Lepisosteus oculatus: one gene and its partners. The protein of the gene in region 1 interacts with the protein of each later gene in a biochemical or structural test. Links are inferred from orthologs where the notes say so. Each region holds a gene or a part of one and is shown on either strand. Other genes may lie near its edges. The genes, in order: mitogen-activated protein kinase 1-like, dusp3a, dusp1 and ptprr.

Evidence for each region.
Region 2: of the proteins of mitogen-activated protein kinase 1-like (region 1) and dusp3a, one has a biochemical effect on the other in vitro, tested with the Homo sapiens proteins (2 studies listed by BioGRID and IntAct). The link is inferred for Lepisosteus oculatus from reciprocal best matches to the Homo sapiens genes MAPK3 and DUSP3.
Region 3: of the proteins of mitogen-activated protein kinase 1-like (region 1) and dusp1, one has a biochemical effect on the other in vitro, tested with the Homo sapiens proteins (2 studies listed by BioGRID and IntAct). The link is inferred for Lepisosteus oculatus from reciprocal best matches to the Homo sapiens genes MAPK3 and DUSP1.
Region 4: the proteins of mitogen-activated protein kinase 1-like (region 1) and ptprr form a complex in vitro, tested with the Homo sapiens proteins (2 studies listed by BioGRID). The link is inferred for Lepisosteus oculatus from reciprocal best matches to the Homo sapiens genes MAPK3 and PTPRR.

The regions. Positions count from the first base shown.
Region 1 is NC_090699.1:2,582,330-2,589,568, forward strand, and holds the start of mitogen-activated protein kinase 1-like, read left to right. Parts: upstream 1-4,238; 5' UTR 4,239-4,603; coding exon 4,604-4,818; intron 4,819-7,239.
Region 2 is NC_090723.1:3,225,492-3,232,902, reverse strand, and holds the start of dusp3a (dual specificity protein phosphatase 3), read right to left. Parts: upstream 3,001-7,411; 5' UTR 2,745-3,000; coding exon 2,590-2,744; intron 1-2,589. Other genes in the region: killer cell lectin-like receptor subfamily B member 1B allele A, read left to right, coding at 3,166-3,182. UniProt on the Homo sapiens protein: Shows activity both for tyrosine-protein phosphate and serine-protein phosphate, but displays a strong preference toward phosphotyrosines. Specifically dephosphorylates and inactivates ERK1 and ERK2.
Region 3 is NC_090706.1:38,261,669-38,269,033, forward strand, and holds the start of dusp1 (dual specificity protein phosphatase 1), read left to right. Parts: upstream 1-4,354; 5' UTR 4,355-4,704; coding exon 4,705-5,107; intron 5,108-5,508; coding exon 5,509-5,657; intron 5,658-6,138; coding exon 6,139-6,358; intron 6,359-7,365. UniProt on the Homo sapiens protein: Dual specificity phosphatase that dephosphorylates MAP kinase MAPK1/ERK2 on both 'Thr-183' and 'Tyr-185', regulating its activity during the meiotic cell cycle.
Region 4 is NC_090702.1:22,913,694-22,920,612, reverse strand, and holds the start of ptprr (receptor-type tyrosine-protein phosphatase R), read right to left. Parts: upstream 3,008-6,919; 5' UTR 2,588-3,007; coding exon 2,527-2,587; intron 1-2,526. UniProt on the Homo sapiens protein: Sequesters mitogen-activated protein kinases (MAPKs) such as MAPK1, MAPK3 and MAPK14 in the cytoplasm in an inactive form.

The DNA of each region.
Region 1 (7,239 bases):
GGAGCTCCAGTCCCAGTACAGTAGACCAGTCCTGTTACAATAGGAGCTCCAGTCCCAGTACAGTACAACAGTCTGTTACAATAGGAGCTACAGTCCCAGTACAGTAGACCAGTCTGTTACAATAGGAGCTACAGTCCCAGTCCAGTAGAACAGTCTGTTACAATAGGAGCTACAGTCCCAGTACAGTAGACCAGTCTGTTACAATAGGAGCTACAGTCCCAGTACAGGAGACCAGTCTGTTACAATAGGAGCTACAGTCCCAGTACAGTAGACCAGTCCTGTTACAATAGGAGCCACAGTCCCAGTACAGTAGAACAGTCTGTTACAATAGGAGCTACAGTCCCAGTACAGTACAACAGTCTGTTACAATAGGAGCTACAGTCCCAGTACAGTAGACCAGTACTGTTACAATAGGAGCTCCAGTACCAGTACAGCACAACAGTCTGTTACAATAGGAGCTACAGTCCCAGTACAGTAGACCAGTCTGTTACAATAGGAGCTACAGTCCCAGTACAGTACAACAGTCTGTTACAATAGGGGCTACAGTCCCAGTACAGTAGACCAGTACTATTACAATAGGAGCTACAGTCCCAGTACAGTAGAACAGTCTGTTACAATAGGAGCTACAGTCCCAGTACAGTACAACAGTCTGTTACAATAGGAGCTACAGTCCCAGTACAGTAGACCAGTCTGTTACAATAGGAGCTACAGTCCCAGTACAGTACAACAGTCTGTTACAATAGGAGCTACAGTCCCAGTACAGTACAACAGTCTGTTACAATAGGAGCTACAGTCCCAGTACAGTAGACCAGTCTGTTACAATAGGAGCTACAGTCCCAGTACAGTACAACAGTCTGTTACAATAGGAGCTACAGTCCCAGTACAGTACAACAGTCTGTTACAATAGGAGCTACAGTCCCAGTACAGTAGACCAGTCCTGTTACAATAGGAGCTACAGTCCCAGTACAGTAGACCAGTCTGTTACAATAGGAGCTACAGTCCCAGTACAGTACAACAGTCTGTTACAATAGGAGCTACAGTCCCAGTACAGTAGACCAGTCTGTTACAATAGGAGCTACAGTCCCAGTACAGTAGAACAGTCTGCACACACTCACACACACACATGCTGACACACACACACTGACACACTGAAACACACACTGATGCACTCTCACACTAACACACACACACTGACAAACTGACACACTCACACACGCACACACTCACATGCTGACACACATTCACACACTCACACGCTGACACACACACACACTCACACGCTGACACACACACACTCACACTCACACGCTGACACACACTCAGACTCACACACACACACGCACGCACACACACTCACACTCACACGCACGCACGCACACACTCACACGCTGACACACACTCGAACTCAGCCTGGAGTTGAACTCTGCTCTCTGGAGAGGGTGCTCTGCCTGCTGTGTCCAGACCTGTGCTGTCCAGCCCGGTACTGTGTGCGTGGCGGTCCGGTCCGGTCCGGTCAGGGTCCCGCAGGTGTGCTGCGGAGCAGGAGAGAGAACCGCTGACTCACTGGGGTTTACTGCCAGGCGGTTCACAGAGTTCACAGAGTTCAGAGTTATCTCCTCTCTCCTCTCTCTCTCCCCCCTCTCTCTCTCCTCTCTCTCTCTCCCCTGTCTCTCCCCTCTCTCTCCCCTCTCTCTCCCCTCTCTCTCTCCTCTCTCCCCTCTCTCCTCCCTCTCTCTCCTCTCTCTCCCCTCCCTCTCCTGTGTCTAAAACTTGTCACCTCTCTGTCTAACTTTCTCTCTCACTGTCTCTCTGACTCTCAGTCTTTCTCTGTCTCTGTCCTCCTGTCTCTGTCTCTCAGTCTGTCTCTCTCTTCCCTCCCTCTGTCTCTCTGTCCCTCTGTCTCTCAGTCTGTCTCTCTGTCTCTCTGCTCTCAGTCTGTCTCTCTGTCTCTCTGTCCCTCTGTCTCTCAGTCTGTCTCACCCTCTCTCTGCTCTCAGTCTGTCTCTCTGTCTCTCTGTCCCTCTGTCTCTCAGTCTGTCTCACCCTCTCTCTGTCTCTCTGCTCTCAGTCTGTCTCTCTGTCTCTCTGCTCTCAGTCTGTCTCACCCTCTCTCTGTCCCTCTGTCTCTCAGTCTGTCTCACCCTCTCTCTGTCTCTCTGCTCTCAGTCTGTCTCTCTGTCTCTCTGCTCTCAGTCTGTCTCACCCTCTCTCTGCTCTCTGTTCTCTACAACTTGTTCCCTCTCTCTGGTCCCCTGACTGCACTCCCCTCCCTCCCTCTTTCCTGCATTCCTGCTCCCCTCCCAGCTGCTGTTTCCTGATCTCTCCCTCCCCTCTCTCCCCTCTCTCTTCTCTTTTGTTCCCTTACAGTCTCACAGTGCAGAGTTACTGTATTAACCCCTCTCTCTCTCTCAATTCAATTCAAGGTGCTTTATTAGCATGACCGATGGGTACAATCAGTGTTGCCAAAGCAAATAAAAATAATAAAATTAACATGGAACAAAACAAAAAATAGAAGACAGGTTACAGACATTTACAACAAAGACATATTATAAAATATTGACATATACTGTAGGCGGCTGGAGCATTATTGGGAGACAGACTCACTGTTCCTCAGGCTGGGACAGGAGATCACATACTGGGCTGCCAGTTCAACTGAGTTCCCTCCTCCCTCTCCCAGTAGGATTGGGACCCGTTGTGACCCTCTCTCTCTCTCTCAGTGCAGTGTTAATGTACTGGAGTGTCTAGTCAGTGTGTCTGTATGAACCCCTCTCTCTCTCAGTGCAGTGTTAATGTACTGGAGTGTCCAGTCAGTGTGACTGTATGAACCCCTCTCTCTCTCTCAGTGCAGTGTTCATGTACTGGAGTGTCCAGTAGGTGTGTGTGTATTAACCCCTCTCTCTCTCTCAGTGCAGTGTTAATGTACTGGAGTGTCCAGTCAGTGTGTGTGTATGAACCCCTCTCTCTCTCAGTGCAGTGTTAATGTACTGGAGTGTCCAGTCAGTGTGTCTGTATTAACCCCCCTCTCTCTCATTGTGAGTGGCACACCTGGCAGCCCCACTGGAGCCCAGCAGGGGGAGCCTGGCCAGTACCTGGAGGGGAGACTCCTGGGAGAGGGGTGAGTGGGGCCAGCAGGGGGCGCTCTCTCCCTGCGCTCTGTGTGGTCCTGATGCCCCAGTCCAGTGATGGTGAGCTATAAAAGAGTAGGGCTGGACACTGACGGGGACACTGGACTGGAAGAAGGCGCCGTCCTTCAGATGAGACGTGAAACCGGGGTCCTGACTCTCTGTGCTCATGAACAATCCCGGGGTGTCTCTATAAAAGAGTCGGGGTGTTACCCCGGTGTCCCCCTGGTCTTGACCAGTCCTGGCCTCCTAGTAACCCCTAATGACCTCGGACCTGTCCTCCTCGCCCTGAGAGCTGCTGTGTGTGAGCGCACTGGTGGGGCTCCACACTGCTGCTGCTGGAGGGGATCCCCACCACCAGCGGGGCGTCCAGAAAGGCGCTATATAAGTATAAGGCTATTATTAATGACCTCTGACCTGTCCTCCTCGCCCTGAGAGCTGCTGTGTGTGAGCGCACTGGTGGGGCTCCACACTGCTGCTGCTGGAGGGGATCCCCACCACCAGCGGGGCGTCCAGAAAGGCGCTATATAAGTATAAGGCTATTATTAATGACCTCTGACCTGTCCTCATCACTCTGAGAGCTGCTGTGTGGGGAGAATACTGGAACATCACCCAGGTGGGGGTACACACTGGTGGGGGGTGGGGGGGATCCCCATGACCTGTAAAGCGCTCTGCGTGTGTGTGTCCAGAAACGCGCTGCACGAGTGTGAGGAATGTATTCATTCTGATGAAATTCAGAAATGAGCTAGAATCCGCGTGCCCAGCTCTGGCGCCCACGCGTGATTTCGCACGATTAGCACCTTCGTTTCATTTCATGTGCATTTTTTTAAACAACAACAACAACAACAAATCTTTCAATGCCGTGAAATATACAACACAGATTTTTTTTTCAACTATATATATATGTGTGTGTCTGTTTTTGCGGTTTCTGCTCAGACTCCGGACGCCCCGGGCGAGCGGGCGTTCACCGTCCATCTCTGCCTCAACCTGTCGGGACGTGACTCGTGTTTTTTTTTTTTGTTCGGTGTTGTGCTTCTCGAAACGGGGTTCCCAAGCCAGGATGGCAACGAGCCCACGCCCACGCCTCCGCCCACTCCCACTCCCACTCTCACTCCCACGGACACGCAGTCGTGCAGAGCCAGCGAGCGTCGTCGGGGCCGCGCACTGCCTCGGCGGCAGCGCGCATCTCGCCAGGGGGGAGAGGAGGAGGAGGAAGAGGAGGAGGAGAGAGAGAGAAGGAGGCCGGGCGTCCTGTCTCTGCGCTCAGGCCGGCGAGGCCTCGTCTCTCTGCGCGCCTCCCCCTCCGCCAGTGAGAAACGCGCTCGCCCACCCCCGTCCCCGGCTCCCTGTTCTTGTGCGAAACGGGGCTTAATCCGCACTCCGGTCCCTCCTCCTCCTCCTCTCTTAGCTCCTCCCTGTCACAGTGACACAAACTCGCCGTGTAAACACTCGCACCTCGGCCTCGCAACAACACGGAAGTCATGGCGGACGCGACAGCCACCGCAGCGGCGGCCGCAGCCTCGGGCTCGAGTGGCGCCCCAGCCGGGGCCGGGGGCGCCGCCGCGCCGGCCGCCGGCTCCACGGGGGCCGGGGGCTCCAAGCCGGGCCTGGAGTCGGTGAAGGGGCAGAATTTCGACGTGGGGCCCCGCTACACGGACCTGCAGTACATCGGGGAGGGCGCGTACGGGATGGTCTGGTAAGGGCGTCCTTCTCGCTCGCGTTTCTGCAGCCGGAAAGGCGCTGCCATCGCGGTTATGGGGGGGAGTGTGGTGTTGTGCACGGCGGGTGGCGATCAGGGTGTCTTGGGGCAGGTTCCCACGCGTGTTTCGCCTCCGGCTTTGAGCACCGCACCCCACAGCGGGAGAGGGGTGTCTTGCGGGGGTGCGTGTCGGAGCAGACCAGGCGTGGCAGTGCGGGGTACCGGGAGGAAGAGACAGAGACGGACCGACGGAGCGTAGCCTGTAGTGCTACCTGTACCTGTACCTGCCGGGTACTGGTACAGACAACACAGTCACACTGTCAGTGTGTGTGTATTAACCCCTCTCTCTCTCAGTGCAGTGTTAATGTACTGGAGTGTCCAGTCAGTGTGTGTGTATTAACCCCTCTCTCTCTCAGTGCAGTGTTAATGTACTGGAGTGTCCAGTCAGTGTGTCTGTATTAACCCCTCTCTCTCTCAGTGCAGTGTTAATGTACTGGAGTGTCCAGTCAGTGTGTCTGTATTAACCCCTCTCTCTCTCAGTGCAGTGTTAATGTACTGGAGTGTCCAGTCAGTGTGTCTGTATGAACCCCTCTCTCTCTCAGTGCAGTGTTAATGTACTGGGGTGTCCAGTCAGTGTGTGTGTATTAACCCCTCTCTCTCTCTCTCAGTGCAGTGTTAATGTACTGGAGTGTCCAGTCAGTGTGTGTGTATTAACCTCTCTCTCTCAGTGCAGTGTTAATGTACTGGAGTGTCCAGTCAGTGTGTGTGTATTAACCTCTCTCTCTCAGTGCAGTGTTAATGTACTGGAGTGTCCAGTCAGTGTGTCTGTATTAACCCCTCTCTCTCTCAGTGCAGTGTTAATGTACTGGAGTGTCCAGTCAGTGTGTCTGTATAAACCCCTCTCTCTCTCAGTGCAGTGTTAATGTACTGGAGTGTCCAGTCAGTGTGTCTGTATGAACCCCCCTCTCTCTCAGTGCAGTGTAAATGTACTGGAGTGTCCAGTCGGTGTGTGTGTATGAACCCCTCTCTCTCTCTCAGTGCAGTGTTAATGTACTGGAGTGTCCAGTCAGTGTGTGTGTATGAACCCCTCTCTCTCTCTCAGTGCAGTGTTAATGTACTGGAGTGTCCAGTCAGTGTGTGTGTATTAACCCCTCTCTCTCTCTCAGTGCAGTGTTAATGTACTGGAGTGTCCAGTCAGTGTGTGTGTATTAACCCCTCTCTCTCTCAGTGCAGTGTTAATGTACTGGAGTGTCCAGTCAGTGTGAGTGTACTAACCCCTCTCTCTCTCAGTGCAGTGTTAATGTACTGGAGTGTCCAGTCGGTGTGTCTGTATTAACCCCTCTCTCTCTCAGTGCAGTGTTAATGTACTGGAGTGTCCAGTCGGTGTGTGTGTATGAACCCCTCTCTCTCTCTCTGTGTGTTTCTCGCGAGACTGAGTGAGTGAGTGGGCGGAGCTTCGGTGGGTTTGATCGTGTGGCGGTGTTTTCTTCACTGGGTTTGTGTTTTTCTGTCTTTTTTGGGGAAAAGCGGGGTTTATTTTCTCATCATGGCCGGTTCTGGAGGCTCTGATCCTCCAGACCTCTCCTTTGAGAAACTAACTCGCCGCCATGGTGTGAAAATCTCCCCTGCGGAGTTCTGTCCGCTTGAGAGGTGCGTTCTTGCGGTCGGGGAGGTCGTGGGCTGCAGGAACATCAGGTCCGCTTCCCGCATGAGTGGAGGTATAGTCATTTTCTTGCAGTCTACCGATTTGGCAAACACCCTGGTGGAGAAGGGAGTTGTCCTGGACGGCACCTTCACCCCGGTACTGCCTCTCGCGGCCCCGGCTCGAAAGATCACCCTCTCCAACGTGCCTCCGTTCATGAGGAACGAGCTGCTGGAGAGGGAACTGTCCCGATACGGACAGGTGGTCTCTCCGATCAGGAGGGTCCCTCTGGGCTGCAGGGCTCCGCAGCTGAAGCACGTCGTCTCTTTCCGGAGACAGGTCTACGTCATCCTAAAAAACCCCACGGAAGAGATCAATGTGGCCCTTAAATTTCGTATTGACAGCTGCGACTATGTTGTATTCGTGACTTCGGAATCGATGAAGTGCTTCAGGTGCGGGAGCGAGGGGCATGTGGTGAAGAACTGCCCGGAGGTGGAGGAAGAGACAGGCAGGGAGCCTCAGCCCCAGGGCGCACAGGAGGCTAGCCGACAGCGTCAGGCAGCGGGGAGCGGAGCAGCGCAGGGAGGCAGCGGGGAGTCAGAGCCCACGGCCGGGGTGCAGGAGAGGAGATCGCTGGAGGGAGCAGGTGAGCCCGAGCCGGTGGCGTCCCAGTCAGGAGAGCAGATAGTAAAGAGTGGACCACCGCAACCCTCAGAAGAGCAGGGAGCCCCCCACACCGGAGAGCGAGAGATGAGCGCTGCTCAGGAGAGTCAGGG
Region 2 (7,411 bases), on another chromosome or scaffold:
CATAGTGGAAGAACACCGACTGCACTTCATGACAAGCATTAAAAGAGAGAAGTACAGTACAAGCAATGCCACACTACCTTTTTAAAGGACTGGGAACAGGAAGGCAATCTTTTTGCCCTGTGAGACAATACTACGTTGTAGTGAATAAAAAACTGGATCCCAGGGATGAAAATTTATAACTAGAAACACTTGCTGAGTGACTCATGTGGTGGGGGTGGATGTCGTCTCTGTACAATCTAGGTTTTGCTGATATGAAAAATGTTCAACTCAAGTTATATTTAGAGCCAATGCTAGAATGTTTTTTTTGCTGTTCATTTTTTAGCTTATGTATCATTTTGGAAGCACAAGTATGTTTTCTAATATATCAGTACAGTTTTATACGGATAATTTTCTATGACTTGCAACTGCTTGGCATATACTGTACAGTTCAGCATGCTGAATAGTTAAGATTTTTAAAAATCACAATCCAAATACATTTTTAACGTTGCCTTAGCTGTGCTTTTCTAACTGTGTGGGTTGCTGCACATTTATGGCTTTTCATTAATTTCATCCTAAAGTAAGGTTCTCTTTCTGCACATATTCCATTCTAACCTATTGTAATACGCAAGGGTTGAGTACTGTAGGTTTGACTAAGAATCAAGCTCCAGTTGCCTGTACTGCTTCCGAAGCAATCATCTTTTTACCTTTTAGCCAAAGCTTGGAACATGATCTGGTTAAATATAACAGCCAGGGGCATATGTTTAAACCAAAAACAAGACAGACAAATGAGAATGCATTTAAACTAATTCAAAAATAATAAGCTATATTCAGTGACTAAAGGAGTTTCTGCCAAATATTGAGAAAAGGTGTAAATACTCATGCAAGCAACATATTTTAGATTCCAGTTCTTCTTTGCAAATTGTGCCGATGGTTAGCTTCTTTCACCCATAAAAAGTGTTTTGTTTTTTGTATTTTGTTGCTCCAAAACACTCACTTTCAAATGTGTCTCCATCATTTGCAGTTTAACAAAAGGGACACCATCGAAAGGAGGCTAATACCTTTGCAAAGAACTGTGCCCCTTGGGTTTGGCACAGCTGTGGTACTGTAATTGTGAATAACATTTAACGGACTAATATAATGCTACTGGAACTCCCAGACTGATGCACACAGAGGGGACAATCCACTTTGCTCTTCGATATTTTGAACAAGCAATTGTAAAGAAAGAGAAACAATTTGAATAGTATAGAAGCGTGAGTCACTGGCATGCCCAGTCTTTAAATACTATGTAAGAAGATGCACTGCCTGTGTGGGAACTCGGAAATTTCACTTTGATCCTAAGAGGGAAGTATCCTTTTCTCCTTGGTCTCTCTCAGGTGTTGCTGAGATCTGTAATCTGGATGAGGAATGCTGTCTGCCCTCATTCCCACTGCATTTTGACAGATTTACTGTTTAAACATGCTTTATTAATCCGTTACATGAATTTGCATAGGTGTGGCTCTAAAAACTCTAAAAGCTGAAGTAGAGTAATTCACCCGAATTGTCGTCCATTTGCACCGAAAAGACTGGAAATTAATTTGTTTTTAACCTGTCAATCCTTTACTTTTGAATAATAACTCCTTCACGCAAATCGAATATTTTCTCATGCTTCTGTTGCATCGAACAAACCCAAGTCCCGGAGTACAAAGAATGAAACAGGTGGGCCGGCGATTTATTTTGACGTTTCTTTTCAGGTGCAAAATGTCCAGTAGGTGCACTTGTCTGCACTGTGCTGTATGCGAAGAAGCTAAGAGCGTTTGCTTTGTGCTTTGTGCATGAAGACACCGACGAGACCTTAATGTGCACACGAGACAGGTCAGCTTGACTGGCGACACGCTATAATGAGCACGTAATGAGCGCACGCCCCTCAGTTCCAAGCTCGAGTCGCTTATTTTCAAATCCCAACCCTGAAAACATCACTGAAAACAGTTAAACCGACAGAGAAAATAAATAGAAGTGGCCATTTCTCCATTAAAATCCTTATCTCTATACCACAGCCCTCCTTTACAACTGTACAGTTTTAACCAAGCCCTAGCGATGAGCGACTGTGTATTTTACTGTAGCGTTATTGTTCTGTTGATGTAATGAATAGTAGCAATTGTACGAAAAACAACAATAATTGTTAACAGTTTAAAGTTGATGATAATTAACTACGAATGCTAGCATTCAAATCAGCTACCAGATACTGAAGATGTACGTATAAAAATGGTTGTGTGTCAAATAAACACTGCTAGACTAAAAAACACATAACATTCAGATATTAATGGGTGACTCTAGTCTCTGGATTAATTTGAAATGAATATCTGAATGCATACTATAAGTAGGCCACAAACATCAGATTTTTAATTTAAGATCAGGTGATGCATTTGATTTGACAGGAAGATGCACATCCTGAAGGTTATGAAAACAACACGACATTATGTTCCGCACCGCACCTTCTCCTGCTCAGATTTGTTTAGGGTTGCTAAGGAGAAGGATACACCTTTTCTCAAATAACGCTGCTTCTGTTACGGAGGGAGCAATGAGCAAATAGCAAATAACTGGAATCCAGTTTGGAAGAAATGGAAAACTTACGCGTTACCCACGTAAATCCTGGGAAATACCTCATTGTAGTGCTGTGTAGGCAGGCTGTAAAATCCGCTGCCGTTTGACAGCAGCTCGTTAAGTTCTTGCACTGAGATCTGGTAGTCTGACATGTTGACTTTGGCCGGGCTCTGGTTCTTCTTCATGTGGGAAAAGCCTGCGATACCCCGCGAGTTATTTTAGAGGGGTGAACAAGTGTCAGGTTACTGTGCGAGCCCGGGCGGTGTCGGTTTCTGATTTTGGACCATCGCTTTTTTTCTCTCTTTTCTGTGTGCTCTGTGGATTTCCAAGGCGCACTCGCTCGCTCCGTCACTCCCCGCCCGACACACCCCGGTCTTCAGTCCGCTTGCACACCAGAGAGGAACGGGTCGGAGAGAAAGGCGCTCCGCGGGGGAGATTGAGCGAGCGACGCGCACAGGGTGGCGACCAGGACGCGACAGGCACGGGGCGAGGAGGGAGGCAGGGAGAGGGGAGCAGTTAAAGGCGCCGCCGAGCTGAAGCAAGACTCGCAGCCCTGCCGTCTCCGAGCTCTGCGCACACCAGGGAAAACCTAGGTTGGCCGGCAGAATGTCATGCTCTCCTGGGTATTGCCTACCTTTAAATTTCACGCTGGGAGGGGTGGAGGAGGGACATGGGAGATGGGGCTCAATAATGATAATAAGCTTGCATTTAAACAGTTTCTTAACCCCAAACGGTCCACATATACAGTATACATTGAAGAGGGACCCTTTGCATCCACCTGGTTGACGCACAGATGGCGTTTGCGTCAGGAACCCTTGTGCAGTAGGTGGAGAAGTGAGGAATTAGTTCACCAACTGAATTAAAGGGGGAAAAATACGTTGACAGCACTTTTGCTCAATTTAGGTACTGTAGGTCAGCTGGGTTAACATCCCTAACTAAGAAGAAATCTGATTCCTTTCCATCATTTCCACGAGGTGAGGATTGCTGTACTCTGAATGAAAGCTACCTCCTCTAGTTATAAAGACCTGGGCTATACCAATCAGTGATCCATATTGGATCTACTGTACATCTCAACTGTGAATCTTTGTGTCTAAGGTACACGTCAACATCAGTCAAAGGCTGTGTGTCCTATGATCTATTTCTCATTTCATAGAAGTCACTGTACGGACAAAGATGTGTTGCAATAGATGAATTATTTCAAGAAAGCCATCAGTTACTAATGTAAGTAAATGCATAACAGAGTTTGTTGCATGTTGTGTTGGCTGCTCAAGTGCTGAAATCTGTCAGTCTTATTTCCATTTGGGGTTTTCACAAGCTGGTTTTCAAAGGTTCTTTCTTTTTCCCCCCCTGACATCACTGAGAACCCCAGACCCCCTCCCCCCTGTACATTCCCAGCCAGGATGGTCAAACAGGCGTTGCTGTTCTGAAACAAAGGCCCTATTCTGTCTCATAAATAACCGAGCCAGCAGACTAGAGACAGCTCCTTACTGACATTGCCAGGATGGAGCCTCTTGATCTGTACCAATCCTGTCAAGAGTCAGAGAAAGCAGCTGGACAAGCCTGTCAGGTCTCTAGAGGGTTCTAAGAACATCAAGTGCCTCATTTCTTTCATGGCATTACACTCTAATATCTATTTTTTATATATCTTTTTGTTTGTATTTTACCATGGCTTGTAACCATTTTTCTTCACTTCAAAACAACACCAGCAGTTAATGTGACTGAAAATATTCACATCGATAACATAACCAGTAACATACCAGGGGTGCTTGCTGAGGTTCTGGAAAGGTGTACAGCAGAGAGCTGGCACACAACAGCAGCCTGGTGTTGTTTGTTTGCTTTTTAGGAATGTAATGAGCGTGGAGATAATCGCACAAGCCATAGACCATAGAAAGAGTTTAAATGTAATAAAGCTGTGATGGGATCTGGACTCTGTCATTGCTTAGACATTAACGTAGAGAATATGGGTTTGTAGGAATAGAGAAACCCAGAGAAAGATGGGACAAATGTATCTCTACACAGGGCAACAGTGTTACCGTCTTGTAGCCTGAGCTACAACTGAGCTGAAACTATGCAAGGCTGGGCCTCATCAGCACTGGGATGGGAGGCCTCCAGGTACCTGTTTGTAGGTGTTGGCCAGTGAGTAAGTGGCGTCCTTGTGTATTGACCGGGGTTTTCAAACCAATGCTCTGGTATGGTGACTGAGAACACTATGCTACATTAGGTGCTGTCGTTGTCATGTGATATTAAATCAAACTTCTAACAACTTTCTCATTAAAGATCCCATTTAAGATCAGAGACACAGTCTCGTACTCTGTGTAAGGCAGAAAGCCCTTTGCCACTGGCTTGAAGGACAGTATTTTGCACTCAGTGCACAATTTAAAATAAATAGCGGCAATATGTCCTTGAAATACTGCACAAGATCTAGACTTATTAAATCATAATGTCACTTTGTATTTCAGCATATATATACTATCTTTTTCCTAGAATCTTTCTGCAGGCTTGTACTTTTCTTACCTTGAAGAGAGAGCTTTTATTTTGTTTTTGGCATAAGAATGCATATGTTGTCTGTGTTAAAGCACACATGCCCTTCTGTAGCCACACTATACCTCTGTAACAGAAGTATACCGAAGCTTAAAAGAAATGCAGCCCTCAGGTCAGTGGAGTCGGTCAAGTGGTTTAAACATGCATACAGTATCAAAGAAAATCACAGAAATGGTGAACAAAAGTATGGATTTAAGAATCTTCACAAGTTTGTAGTGTGACGGACTGTCAAATTAAAATAATGACAAAGTTAGAACACCCCTGAGCTTTGATGTATGGACCTAATCAGCCTCAGAGTAGACTGCTGTGGGAAGTTCTGCCACTCTTCCTGAGCTGCTGCAAACAGCTTGCAAAAGTTGTCTGGTCACAGTTGTCTACTGTTGATGGCACTGGTGTGTTGGTCATCCAGTTTTGATGACTTGGTCTGCCTGGGTCAAACAGTGAAGATAACACTCTGCCCATCTCTCTGACACCACCTCTTTGGTCCATCAAACATGGCTATCTCAACTCTCAGCTTAGTCCTGAACATCCTCTAAGCACCCATTTCATATCCATGTGGACAGCAGGCTGCAATCATTGAGTTGTATGGAAAGAGCTCATGAATGAAATCCGAATAGACAAGTGGTGGCAGTGTTCTCATAGTGGCCTCTGGTGGTGAAAAGTGATAGTGCATTTGTTTTGCACAATAAAAGGGCAAGCATCAGATTTTCAATTAGGCTTTCGTTAAAGACCCTTGTAATCCTATTTCACTGGAGAAATGTACTACAGCTTCAATATATTCCTAAGGTTTTGTTCTTGGATAAACTGTTGTTAAATATTATTTTGATAAACGTTGATTTCTTTTGTCCGTGCATCTCTCTGTAGAGCGCTCTTACAAAGTTGTGGACAATTGGTTTCAGGTTCTCTCGTTTCATTGTCTGACGTGGATCATCAATATGTTCAGCCCCAGCTCTCCAGTGACCAGTCATTTAGTTTTCCGATGCCCTGTGTTTGCACATAGGGTTGTGTCTCCTGTTTTCTAGCTTGAGCACTTTTAATCTTAATTGCTCACTGAACTTTACTTGTGACTGTGCTTTTTCTGTTGCTGATCCTTTGTTATTGAATAGCCTTCTTCCATAGAGAGGCAAATTCTTTGACCCTTTTCAAATCTAAACTTAAAACTCACCTTTTTACTGTGTCTGACTATCTTACAGTTTGTCCTGCCTGGTGGTGTTTAATTTTATTTACTTTTTATTATTTTGTCTGTTTTTATTTCTTATACATTACCGCCTGTGAGTACAGTATCTTTGGGTTTGGTAAGAAGCTTTACAAATAGATGTTATTATGATAAATTGAAGCTCTTGAGATTCATAATGTGGCTAATCTTAAAGCTGTCCCACAGGACTGAATCTGCCTACACCTTTCAGGTTTTTGCATACCTGCAACAAACCCCACTGTGATCCTCTCTCTTGTAGATTAAAAGGTTTCATTTATCTTAATCTGTCTGAATATGACATTTCTGTCAGGCCTTTCTGTACTACTGTATATCCAGGACAGTAATCTCTTTCATGTATCATGGAGGAGGAAACTGCACATGACATTGAAAATGAAGTCTGCATGAAGTGTGTATTGCATCATTTCCACATTGTTAATCTACATCCAGAATTCTGCAGTATGAACTTTAAACATTGGACATTGGACAGTTTTATTACTTCCTGATCCACAATAGATGATGAAAGTGGGTCAACATTAAAGCCTCAAATCATTCATGGATTACATCTTTTAGTTTAGTATCTCACAGTTCATATTAAAAATGTACATTTTCTGGTCTTCAAGGAATGCATTGCATTGATAAGTTGATAAAATATTATAATTGCATTTGACATTAGTCATTGGTGGGCTGGACAAATGATGAAATGGGGCAGAAGGAAGGAAAGAAGGGGAAAGAGATCAGGTGAAGCAGGCATTGAAGAAAGTAGGAGTAATGAGCAGGAGGAAAGGTTAAAGGAAGTGGCTCCATAGGCATATTTCCTGTTTGACATTATACATACATCCTGTGCTCAGTGTCATATGACATTTCTTGCATAAGTAGCCATATCATCGGTATAATCAAGCCTGATTAATGCTTGTGCCTTTTTTTGCTCTAGAGCATTATTGTGAAATGCTAAGCTGTGTTGAAAGGTGCTAAGGTATTTGCAGACTAACTTAATTCTCCATATTTGGCTATACCAAATATGAGTAAAACAAATGTCTTATCTCTACATGGGTTTGACACAAGCAGAGTAAAATAGTTAATACAGTAAGTACAATAAAGCTGTATAAAAATAAACTA
Region 3 (7,365 bases), on another chromosome or scaffold:
ATACCTAAAAATATCACTTACAATATTATTTGAAAAAAGTATTATTTTATTTTTTCTTATGTCTTGTGATTCACTGTGAAGCAATATGTTCTTGACTCCATTGTAAATGTTACACACATTTTGTATGACTCACATTTGAGAATTTGAGCCCCGTTATGCAATTTTCGAAATGTCTTATTTACATACTCTGAAGGTTTTATCCCACTTTGAAAAAATAAAATACACATATGTATTGGAATGTTCCAGACTCTTAGAAAGTTTTGGAATGTTAAAGAGAGTTCTGCTGATGATGTCATGTGATATTTCAGAAAACATTACATTATCTCAGCCAAATGTGATATTACTAAGAAATGAACTACTTCAGAACATAAATTCATATACTTTTAAAGCAGGATTTTTTTTAAGTCTTTCATCATTTCTTAGTTTTAAGCTTTACAAACCCAAAGAGTAATAAGTACTAATTAGACAAAAATACACAACAGACTGAAGTCCCTGCTGTAGTGTTTTTCGACAACGTCATAAATGCCCACCGAAGGTAATTAAATAGCAATGATAGAAAAAAAAAACATTCACTAAAATTCCCCCAAATGATAATAACGTTTATAAGGGATATCAAGCATATTTAAAGAACAAGTACAGGTTTATTCCATGCTGAAAAAGAGAAGAAAGAAAACACAACGTTTCAGCTGTGGAGCCTTCTTCGGGTGTGACGCAGCTACCCGAACTTCTTCGAGCATATACTGTATATATTTATATTGATTCGGACACACATCGAGCATATACTGTATATATTTATATTGATTCGGACACACATCGAGCATATACTGTATATATTTATATTGATTCGGTCACACATACAGAGCCCGTAAAACACAGCAGTTCCGCCCCGTTCTCTTATAGTCTGTATCTATTGTTGTTAATTGCTGTTGTGATCAGAATCGATTCGGCCCTTTTTTTTTAAGAAAGTAAAATCTTAGATACTCCCGGTCACCCCCAAAACGAAACCAGGAACCCGCAGGGCGGCCCATGCAGATACACGGCGGGCGAGCGCTATCAGCGCTTTGCCCCTCCCCGCACGCGACGGCCCGGCGCGAGATGCCTTCGCTTTGAACGTGATTCACTCCTGCAGAGCCTGACAGTAACTACAGACCGCAGATCCCCCCCAGCACAACGCGATACTGTGCGCATATGACTCACGAATGCTTTTGGAAACCATTACTTGCCTTTCTCCGTCTTTGCTTTTGTTTTTGTTTGTTTTTCTGTTTCTTTCTGCTCTGTGCTTGTGTGACAGCAATGAACCCATCTTTCCGAAGGAGCGGTCAAATGCCGGAGTTACTCAGGGCAAAGGAATACAGGGCTGAAGCGCCGAGCTTCTCTCGTTTGGCATGAACAGCCCCGGGTGACTTGTTTAAATGATTTAATTATGATATAGGCTCCAATTCTGAGCTAAATAAAGGCGAACATTAATGTTATTTACGTTGTCTGACGGGGTATACGACCTTCAATACCTTGACTGCGCTTTAAATACTGTGTTCTTCACTGCACATTTTCATACAGGTGTGTATTGTAAGCATAAGTATTGTAAGGCTTGAACCCAGGCATGTCATTCCAGATCACGCTCGAATAAAAAGAAAGTGTAAATCTGTCTCATATTCTGATAGCATAATATATTATGCTAAAAAAAACAATTTCTATATTGTCTTGTTTATTGTAAAGGCCAGTGGTCGAAGGCAGACTTTGTTGGAATATTTATTCAAATATTAATAGTTCTGTAATATCAATTTTCTTGGTAACCCCTATGGTGTGTCACTTTAGTCACAGGTTTTTTATGCAATGTTTTCATTACACCAGAAAAAAACGTCAGCCACACGCCCTGTTCAAACATCCTCCACGCCCAGGTTTAACTGAGGCCAAATGATAAACTGACAGTCTAGTTTTTCAGCTCCCAAAACAAGCAAGTATGTAGCTTGTGAAAGGACAGAATGGAGAGACCGGTGTTTCTTCAGGTGTGCGGCCAATCCCCCACCTCTGCAAAGTTGTGTTTCTTCTTTCATTTTGCATTTCAGGCTGGAAGAAAGACCTTTACTTGATCCCTGGCACACTTACACAGTCCCTAACTAAAACCTCTATATCTCAGGGAGACTCGTTAGAGCTAAACAGAATGATCTTCATCTTATACTGTACATGAATCACCTTTTAAGGTCTAAATAACATTGAAATTCCTTGCAACAACTCAAAATTAGGATTTTTGTGGTAGCACGAGATTACAGAGCTCTGTACTCTTAAGGCGGCCTGTTTAATTTCAATACCTTTATTATTTCCATGTTGCAGTTTTCATGCATTCCACCTGAACCTTAGAACAGTACTGTTCTCTCTTTCACGCCCATGCTGTAAACAGGAAATTGAATGATCGTTCTTTCAGCTGGGACAAAAACAAGGCAATAAGTCCTTGTACATAAGGTGTTTGTCTGAGTCACCTGCAGAACAACCGGTATTGCACGTGACTGTACCACAACACTCACATCAGCACGAAGGCTGTGACTCATAACTACCAGCGAAACACTACTGAGAGGAGTAAACCTCAACACAGCAAGGGCTACTCCAGTGTTGCGATCCATGTCTGATGACGAGACAGCACGTTCTACACACAGTGGGAGCACGTAAAAGTACATGAAAAGTTGCCCAGCCCTGCCATTGAAGCCAGTAAATGTCATGAAATGACTTGGTGACGTTCTCGCATCAGTGAGCTACTAGTTGCCATACAGACTGGGTGGTCTGAAAGGAGTCCGCCAGATTGTCCCTCATGTCCTCGATTTATTTAACAACAAAACGGTCGTCTTTGTCAGGCTATTCTGTACCTCTTTGGTATAAGAACTGACAAGGGAAAAGGCCTGTCCTGTGGTGAGACATTAAGGACTCGAGACACACAAGAAGACCTCAACAAGGGGGGTCTGTGCTGTGGTCTTAATTCCACACCACGACTGTACCTTATTGTACCTGCTCGTTCGAGTTTTTCCATTTTATTAAGCCCTCTGTGGCTTACATCACTCCAAGTCTCCGCTAATGGTCACAGCATGTCAAAGGGAAGGTGACAATGAAAGAAGTTGGATCCTGAACTCGGCCACAGTATATGAACCCTCCACACAGCAAGTGTTGATAGCTTCATGGAAATTTACCAGACCCTAGGTTTTTATATAGTGATTAACTTTTATGGTTTACCTTAGCACCCAGCATTAGCCCCGATGCAGTACTTAAGGAGAACATAAAATTTTATGGGCGGCGTGGCAGATATTCGTTTATTGTCTTGTTATTTGTCAGAGCTCCTTTGAGGGGTAAAAAATAAAACGAAAACAAACAATAACATCATGGAATTTTTTCAGCCTTCACAGAAGATCACTGGGATTCCTGACACGTCCCCATGAACAGGCAGCAGAGCCCTCGGATTAAAACGCAGTTGAAAGATTTCTCATTTCTGGGGTAACAAAGCTTCACCCGATTGTTCAGAAACACGGCTATCTCTGTTATTTATCCGTAAGCCTAAAAAGTAAGTCCTGAAAGAAAATCCACTTAGGAAAGAAGATGCGGTACTAACACAGCATACTTACCTGAACGTGTGCCTCGTTTTACTATCTTACTAACGGTACTTTTACAAATGATGTGTTTTAACCTGTTTCTTATTTGATATTCTGTTCCACCAAGGCCGGGAGAACAGACTACCTATTTTAAAACGTAAGAGGAAGTTTAAAAAGCGAATCGTCACGTAATTCTCGGGGGTTTATTCTTCTACAGAAATCACTTTCAGGTCAAACGTCGGGGGGCTGTATTTTGGAATCGAGTGGTCGGCAGCAGACATTACAGATCTAGAAATGCTCTTTTATCTTTCCATATACAGATGATATCTTTGAAGTGTTTCAAATAATTGATGAGTCAGGTGCGCCGTCCCGATCAAACATCAGAAATATTTGATCACCACTTTTCGTATATCATAGGATTGTATTGCACGCTGTGACATCACTGTAGTTTTTGGTGAATAACCTTTAGTGACCAGAATAGGACTTCTCCTCCTTAAATAGTAACACAGCGGTAAACTCACGAAAACTCTCGGGACAAAACCATTCCTCGGCCGTAACACCGTGCTGCCCTGCTTCTTACAAACTTGGCTTTGCTCCAGGTCTCAGATCGCAATCTCGGGTTTGTTTGGCTTTGCAGGAACTTTGGCTGCCCGGGTTTAGCCCTGCTCGTGGAATGACGTCGCCCAAGTTTACGCTGGGCACGCTGCCAAGGGGAGGCGGAGCCTCTACGTCATCGCATTCTCATTCACAAAAAGAGCGCCGGCTCCCCATATAAAAACCACACTGCCGAGGGTTAGGCAGAAGCAAGCGTACATCAGCGGCTGGGAAGTCTTAGGCAGGACGGACGCCAGCACAACAGCAAAAGAAAAACAAAGGGACTGATTGTAAAGAACAAGCGGATTCTTATCGATACCGGCTTTTGGGTTGTTTGTTTGTTTGTTTTGGGGGGCAACCCGCGTGTTCTTTTTCGAACCGAGAGAGTGCTCCGTCAAAGAACAGAAAGAGTAACCAACTGAAGATACTCATCGTAATAAAATAAAAAAAGGCAACAACCGTATTCGTCCCGCGCTCGATTCATTTTCGTATCGGGGAAGGAAGGGGGTGAAGAACGGACTCGCCGTCTGTTTCCTTTATGCGTCTAGATTTGCCGTTCTCAACGTGTCGCCCCACTACTATGGTCATAATGGAAGTCCCCAGCCTCGACTGCGCCGCCTTCCGAAACCTGCTGGACGCCGGCGCGCTGGTCCTCGACTGCCGCTCCTTCTTCTCCTTCAACTCCTCTCACATCCCCGGCTCTACCAACGTGCGCTTCAGCACCATCGTGCGCCGGCGGGCCCGGGGCGGGCTGGGGCTGGAGCACATCGTGCCCAACGAGGAGGCCCGGTGCCGGCTGCTGTCCGGCCAGTGCCGCGCGGTGGTGTTCCTGGACGAGCGCAGCGCGGACTTCGAGCAGGTCAAGAAGGACAGCACGCTCATGCTGGCCGTCGCCGCCCTGCGCCGCGACCCCTGCGGGGCCAGCGTGTTCCTGCTCAGAGGTGCGTCTGAACCCCGGCTCCTGACACGTTTGCCGAGCCCGAGAAAGAGGTTCCTCGGTGGTCTTTTTTGCTCTGTTAGCACGCCGTTAGCGTGGCGTGGTGCCCGAGTCGCGCAACGCTTTTTTTCCCCTCTCTCTCTCTCTCCCCTGGACTACAAGCCTAAGCGACCTGTTTTGTCATTGTAAATTGTTTCCCCGGTCTCCACTTTGGGGGGGAGTGAAGGAGACCGGGCTGCTCAGGTTTCTGCCCGCCAAGTGGCCCGTCTGTACAGCGGCGGTTCCGGGTGCCGGAGCCGCGTCGCCTTTTGTGTCCAGATTTTAAAAGGCGCCGGGGTAGACCAGCGCTGAAGTGCGGCGCTAGGCGTTCATAATAACCTTCCGGTTTCCCCTTTCATGCTTTAGGTGGCTTCGAGGCGTTTGCCTCCGAGTTTCCCGAGCTGTGCACGAAGCCCGCCGCCCCGCAGGGCTTGTGTTTGCCGCTGAGCTCCAGCTGCCCGCCCGGGAGCGCGGAGTCCGGCTGCAGTTCCTGTGGGACACCGCTGTACGACCAGGTAAGCTCCTGCACATTGTAAGAGCAGAGTTAGAGCCTTAAGCTGCTCGGCTCTTTAAAATGCACCACAGTCTCTGTTTCGCACTCACTTCCCCCTTTTTAGCGTCTGACAGTGACACGGCAAAAATAACGCTTTTGATACTCTAAAAACACTGTCGACGGCAGAAATTCCCCTTTGCAGCGGCAGATTCGGGGGAAAAATAACCATTCATAAGGGTATTTTCGTTCGCTAAATGTTTTTTTTTCCCGCCCCAAGACAGACCATTAATTGTGTTCTGTAGGGATTGTGACGGTTATCTTAAACCTTGTTGTGGGTCGATTTAACCGTGACCTCTAGTAACGTATTACTCACGTCTTACTTAGAAGCCTTCCTGTGAAAATAGCATAAGCTAAAAGGGTTGTTTTTTCCCCCCCAGACTTGATAAGACCAGCGCTGCTGCTGCATTAGTGACCAAATGTGTGTGTTGTCCCTCTCCATTCAGGGTGGTCCAGTTGAGATCCTGCCCTTCCTCTATCTGGGCAGTGCCTACCACGCCTCCAGGAAGGACATGCTGGACACTCTGGGCATCACGGCCCTCATCAACGTGTCCGCCAACTGCCCGAACCACTTTGAGGGTCACTATCAGTACAAGAGCATCCCGGTGGAGGACAACCACAAGGCTGACATCAGCTCCTGGTTCAACGAGGCCATCGAGTTCATCGGTGAGCACGTTCTTTCCAGCGCTTTCTAAATACACGACACTTTTCGTGACAATCTCCTGGCGTAGGCTTGAGTTTCTTCTTGTGTCCCAGAGAAGGAAGCTTTCTTCCCGTGTTGGCAAACCCATCTATACTACTGTACTACTCCTGGCTGTGGACTTGTGTGCTTTCTGATTTCTGCTTCTTCAGCTTTGTCTGGAAACGGTTCTAAAAATGCCACTTACATTTGGCATGCTCAGTATTGTCCCTCTATTGTCAGTAGATTTCATTTCTACTACCAAAAAAACGTTCAGGGTCCAAAATTCTAGTATTGATATGAAACTATACTTACTCAAATACTGAAATACTTACTCGCGTGCAGAATGTGGCTACGAGTACACTCCAGAAATCAAAAACAGACTCTTAATGGAAGGCCTTTCTCTTCAGCTCTGCGAGACCTGATTCAAATTCAAAAGGGGTTTCCCTCCAATTTTTCGACAGCTGGTCAGCCGAGCTCCCTGGCAGGCAGGCTGATGTCATCCCCCACCCCCCTTGCCCCATTCAGATTCAAGAGGGGCACCCCCCACTCCCTAAACCACACAGGCACACCCCCTCTTGTGTTAACCACAAGGCCACGACCTGGGCTGCTTTTGAGCAGAGTGGCTGGTCTGTTCCTGTCGTGCCTCCAGTCTCCAGCAGAACAAAGGCCGCGGAACAAAAGGTGGTTTCTCCCTCGCTCTCTGCTGGCCTTCCTCCCGGACTGATGCTCACAGCAGGAGGGGGGGGGGGGGTGCTTTCTTAATGTGTACCCCCACCCCCCACTCCCACCCTTCAGCCAGGGCAGGCCTTTGTCAGTCTTCCCCTCCATTTGTTTGCGCTCTTTATAGCCCCTCTTCCTGTTTCAGAATGAGGCAGTGTCCCTCTATTAGTCGGGTCATTAACAGCTTTATTGCCAGCGCAGAGCAACATAGCGAGACGGAATCGGATGCCGTCGCAGCGGTTTTCAGCCCCCTGCTCCTGCCGCGTTGTTT
Region 4 (6,919 bases), on another chromosome or scaffold:
ATACCACCAACACCGCCACCCCCCATACTGCTGCTGCCCAGTATGGGTTATTAGAGAACCTTGCGCCCGACGCGGGACACGAACCCACTACCCTGAGATTCTGTCTCATGCTCTACTAACAGAGCTAGTCAGGGAACACAATAGCTGCCTTACCTTTTGCAAATTATGCAGTACAGATTAAATGCACCTACTCTATTAAAGAACCACAGTGAAGCAACAAAACAAAAGACAAGAAGCGCTTTCCAAAGGCACACATTTGTATTCTACATTCAGCATCTTGCATGGAAATAACAGCAAGTCCACATGACCTCTTGCCTGACACCCATGGGAGGGAGGTCAGACTCTGAAAACAAAACTTTTTTTTTTCTGTTGCTGACAATCAAACAACAGAATACACAATTGTCAAAACAGGCATGTTTGTGTCTTGGTAACAATCTAAGCAAAGTTTGCTTAGTAGTTTGTTTGGTCAGGCAGCTAAAAAAGAGGATTTGAGCTTTCAATGATGCAGCAATGAAAAGGCTTTCTTAAGAGTCACAATACCTCTGTGTATTATGGCTCTGTGAGCTGCATCATATGCAAAGCCCAGTCATAATGCAGAGAATGCAGACTCAGATGAGAACTTGAACCGAGATAATAAATTATTTTCAGGCAACTGTAGTTATATTGATGATCAATCCTGCAAAAACGTACAGATACGTTCAGATAGAAAATGTACAGATAGGAAGCAATAAACTGTAAGCATTTGGACACAGAACTATTTTTAAAAATGTGGCATTTCAATATTACAACATTTACTGTTTTAGTCATCCTTCCCTCCTATTCAAAGAAATAACAAGTGAAAAATACAAGTGAAAAAACAGTATACAAGGATACTTTCTGAGGGTATTTTACACATTTAATTTGAAACATTCCACATTTTACATAACTGCATTTAACAATCATGTCCACAAATTATTTTTCCATTAAGTATTTTAAATGTTTTGAGCTAATACTCATAGCTACATACATGCTACCTTTATATGGTTCTAGCCTAGAGAGTTTTCTAATCCACTCTAATCATTAACCCATTATAGATTAATCCATATTAATCTATAATAACTAGTTTCCAGACATCAAGGACTTATTTTAAACTCAAACTGTTGGGTATGTTTTATGCACAATGCTACTGTACATTCCCTCTAATTTTCCAATTTGCTTACTCTCATAAATGGTCGGATTTAGGAGAAGATCATAACCAAACATGTATGCCAACTGAAATAAAACTGTGACCTAAATATTAATATACTATGATATTAGAAATCCTGTTTGTGAGGATTATTTTACATAGGGATATAATATTACAACTGTGTACCATTTGTGAACAATATTATACTATTATACACTATTATAAAGAGGCTCAATGTAGATGTTTCCAATGTCACCAATTTCTGTTATTTTAATTATCATAGTGGTTTAACCTGATTTAGCTCCTACTATTTGTTTAAATATTTTAACGATTGAATGCTGTACAAAAAAGGAAAATGTTGCATTTTGTTTATTAAAAGCTGGGTTTGTTAACAGAAGGTACAGTATATCCTCATACATTTTAAGGACGGACTAGAATTAGTCCATGTTGATAACAGAAACGGGGCATGAATTACATTAAATACACAGCAATCTAGTCTAACGAGGTGTTTATTCTTCGATATCGATAATGTACCCTAGTATTTAATCCTGCTTTCGATAATATACATTGTACCTAGGTAATAAGTGCATGTTTTATTGATTTACTGATTGGTTGCCAGACCTACAAACACGGTACTTCTACTGAAATGACTGAATTGGAAACCTTTCTCCTTCTGAGGAAGCTGCTAAGCACGTTTTCTCCCCGGCGACAGTGCTGTGTACAGACGGTCGCTGGCCTTGGTTCTGAAATGCTCAACAGCCACGGACTTGAACCGGATTGGAAATAAGGATTTGATTGGCAACTGCAATCACCATTACTATTAATCAAAATACGCAAACTGTGGCTTCTTCCTGATGTGGCTTTAACACTGGGCGGGATATCCTTCATTTCGTCTCGAAATTACAAACCATATACTAAACCGTTAAAGCCAATTAAAATTAAAATAAATGAATGCAGACAGGTCGATTGATTCGCAATAAACAGATACACGAACACAGTTTCACACAAAACTTCAATTTCGTAAACCAGTTCCTAAAATGCAAAAGATCAAATTCACCGCCTCCGCGAATTCTGTATACCCTCAAAATGCGACAACAATCTGCAGGTATTTCAGCGCATGAATTGAAACTTTACTATTATTAATGCAAATGTTTTTCTATCAAGTAACACCTGCTTTAAATCACTGTTTTTTTTGCATTTGGTAAAACAACCAGTTTAAAATTGTGGTCGGAGATGAGATACCAATCAATAAGGTTGTACACACCACCTACTGTATATCCGAAATAAATGCCATATGCGAGCTCGCGGAAACACGATTAAATGTTTTACACCTTCGCGCGTTCTTAATTTTTAATACTTACCAACAGTCTTTAGTAGAAATAGCGCGTAAACAACAATCTGGAACTCGCTTCTTCCTTGCATATTTCTGAGCCGTTGAGTCGTCAAACGTTCACATTAAAAACAGCTTTCAGAATGGTTTACTTTTCCCAATTACAATAATACGGAATGGTACGATTGTAGTCCTACAGTAGGTACTCTCTAAAGAATTTTCCGGTGATCCTAGCGCAACAATATTTTGCAATGGCGATTCTGCTTTACATCAGTCATCTCAATTTACCGTAGCTGAGCTGGCGCAGTTACTTTGCGAGAGTAGCGGTGGAGAGCTGATGCATAATTAATATGGGTAGTCTTCCGATGACACCCATTCCAAGATTCCACCAAATTCAGCCTTCTTGGGGCTCGAGAGTGCAAACGTGTGATCTGTTCGTGTTGTCTCGTTTTCAGGAATGCAATTTACGTGTACCAACATCGTGAGATTTCACTGACCTATTACTAATAGTAGTTTCTCTTAAAGGGCAAAGAAATAAAAATATTGGCTCAGATTTCTTAAGACAAATATTTTTATTAAGAACTAAAACTCATCTTAAACTAATCGATTAAGTAAAATGCAGACAACTGGATATGTTTGTTAATTTTTGGTAGCATGTTTAATTATATGCTCGGTACTAAACGGCATTTTATGTGAAAGCTATCGCTATATTGAATTTGAAAAAATAATCATATTGCCTTACACCTTGAGCCTCCTGGTGGAGACTGGTTTGCTCTTTCAATAACCCTCTAAGGATTAGGCGGTTTTTGAAAATGGATGCTTAATAAATTATTAGCCGTGGATACGGTATAAAGTACTGTATAATTTATTGTATATACACCTATAAGACATGTATATAGATGTATATATCCAGTCCAAATATTCAGTTTCATTATACAGATGGATATTAATGGGTTTCATATTAAATAATGAAACAATACTAAATAATGAATGACATTTTAATATTGCTGGTAATGGGTAAAGTTGTTGCTAAAGTTACTCTAATGGTTTAGGCATGGTATTAGTATACTGTATTTTAATCAGCTGGATCACAGTGAACCAAGGCTGGCTTATGGTCAATAATCAATATTTATGCGATGGTCCTGATAACCATGTCATTAATGGCAAGACCGTTATTGAAAAGAATGAAATGGTGGTATTAGGTGAAAATGTTTTTTTGTTAATAATTCAGCCTTCCTGTGGATTAATTACAATAGAATTCATAAATTGATAATGATGCACTGCCTCAGAATTCTAGGAAGACCTTTTTTTGCATTTGGACTCTGAAGCTTGACATTCATTTATTTTTATAGCAGAGGAGATACAGTACATTTTGTTTTGGTTTTCATGTTGTCTTTCAATTTGCACTTTGGGAATTCAGGGTAATATCTCTTTCAACCATGCCATAAGTAGCTTACTTTAAGAAATCATTAATATTCATAGAGGGCAAATTCTTACCCAAGTCTGAATATTACTGTACATCCACATTGAATTCCATCTGAATATTACGTCAGCATTGAATGATGTTCATTTGTCGTGTATGCATTTGTCCTGTGTCCATCCATCCATTTTCTAATCTCTTCTTCCTATTATGGGTCCCAGGAGATCCAGAGTCTATCCTGGCTTGGAGGCAGGGTAAACCCAGTCCATCACATGGGAGACAGACCAACACCTACACACTCACACCTAGTGACATTTTCCCAGAACTCAACTGACCTACCAGTAGGTTTTTGGACTGCAGGAGGAAACCCACACAAACATACAGTACCAACTTCACACAGACAGCATCCCAGGTCTGGACTTGAACCCACGGCCCCAGCGCTGTGAGACAGCAACGCTGACCACTGCACCGCCATTCCACCTTGTCCTGCGTTACCATGGAATCTAATTGCCAATTTAATTTATAGATCTACTGTATCTCCAGGGTTAGACTCAGCAAATGTCAGATCAGAATGGCTGTTAGCTAGAACTCTCATGGGGTTAAGACCACTTCATTCCCAATATTGAAGACCAGCACCATCTACTCAATGTTCAGATCTGGTGGCAGAACCACTGGTAACGAACAATGTATGAAATCTGAATTGTCTGAAAGGATTTGACAGTGTGTTATGAGCATTAATGGTGAATTAATAAAAGAGCTATTAAAAGTGGCACCTGTTTAATCTGTTCAATTAAAAGTGCAAATGTGAGAATATATGCAGTCTGTATTTCATTAATGAGAAGTTTGGTGATGATTTGTAAACTGGTAATAGTGTTCTACTGTCAGTTTTATACAGGAAGGAATCTTATGTATTTAAGTATTAAATGTATTTTCTTCACAATTCTACCTTTGTCTTTCATTGCTAAAGGTACAGAAAACCTTTAGTTACAGTACAGTATATCTCAGTATTTGGATGTAATATCATAGCAGTGGCTATGCTTACAGTTCTCTAACTTGGACAGGGGAAAATGGGAAGCAGCCGCTCTTAACTAAATGTGGTATTATTTAAGCAAGAACTAGTCCGTCTCATTGAGCAATCAAATATGACCCTCATTCTTTTTGCTATCACTCAAAACGCATGAACCACGGCTGTCTCACAACTGCTAGACCAAAGGGTGGAAAAAAATCATGATCATTCTTGCTGTTCTGTCATCTGCTTGACATCCTGCATCCTGTATTATTTCCCTTGTTAACGTTGCACTCAGAGCCAGGCGTGGGCTGTATCAGAATCTTGTCGTATTAGAATTAATCACACTAATATTCATAATATCCAAGCTGAATATTATGTCTAGAGTCAAATTAATAAAGCTTTACTATCTAATGAACTAAGAGTTCCCATAGGCTGCAAGTATATTATGATCTTGAAAATCATTAACGTTAAAATAACCTCTAAATGTTGTAATTCTGAAAGGTGAACCATCTTCCCATTTTCCACTTCCTGGCTGAGGGCTGCAGGTTTGCTTCAAGAATTTGCCTGAATTTTGAATCATTCATCTTCCCTTCTATCCTGACAAGTGCTCCAGTCCCACCTGAAGAGAAACACCCCCACAGCAGGATGCTGCCACCACCGTGCTTTACTGTAGGAATGGTGTTCTTTGGATGGTAAGATGTATTGGGTTTTCACCAGACATACCTTTTGCATACTGGCCAAAAAAATTGAGGTGCTTTTAGGTCTTTAAGGTGCTTTTTAGCAAAACATAAACAAGACTTGATGTGGCTTTTTTCTTGGCACCCTCCCATACAAGCCAGATTTGTGGAAATTTGTTCCACTTCTTAATGATGGTCTTGACTGTGCTCCATGGGATACATAAAGCCTTTGAAACCATTTTATACCCATCTCCTGACTCCTTTCCACAGCTTTATCTCAAAGTTTTTTCTGAAAGCACCTTTCCGCCAATAGTGGCTTCTTTGCTTTGAAATGCACTTCCAAGCAGTGGAATCCTCTAGAAAACACTACTTTTGTCCTGAACTAATCAAAATCACGACAATTGACCACAGGGAGCCAATTAGTTTGTTGTGTGATCTGTAAGGTTATTGGTTATACCTGAGAAGGTTTACAAATGCAATTGTAAGGGGGGTGTTCACTTATCCAAACAAGGTGTTTTACTGTTGTAAAATTAATTCATTTTCAGAATGTTTTAGAATGTTATTTTCACTTGGCTAATGTGGGTTACTGTGCGTAAATAAAGATGGAACAAGCCTAATTTAGTTTGTTTTTATTTTCAGAGTGTCATACAACAAAAGGTACATATTTTGAAAGGGGGTGTTGACTTTCTATACCCACTGCAAATTAGTTGAATGGCCTCTTCTCGTTTATAACTGTTCTGATGTTTTCTACACTCTAATGAATCCTTTGGCGGGTTCGGGAGGTCTGGGGAAAAGCAGGTCTGAGATTTCTTTTGTGCCTCTTGGGCATAGAGGCAAGTGAGAATTAATGCAGAAACTAAAAGGTTTCATTGCATTATTTTTTATGTGCCAATGAAAAGGATTATGGCCTTGTTTTCACATTGCTCTTTTCATTGATGTTTATAATAGCATTTGCTGTTATAAAAATTCAGCTGCTACTGTATTAGTGTCCGTTATTAACGTGAAAAAGAAAGAAGGGGTATCATCCATATTCCCCACCCTTCACCCCGTTTCTTCAAATTTATGATTGCACCATATACCTATTACAATTGAGAGTGTTAGAGTGACCCCTAATGGGAAGAAGCAGAGGTGCATCTGTTGCATGACGAGTATCATTTTTCAAGACCAAGACCATTTTCATAATGTTGCAATGTAGCAGAGAGAGAATTCAATTTAATACTAGAAGAGAGATGATCATGATAGCTTGAGGGAATAGACCAGTATGTACCCCAGAATCAGAACAAACAGAAAAATAAAATGTAAGTTTTTTTTAAGTCAA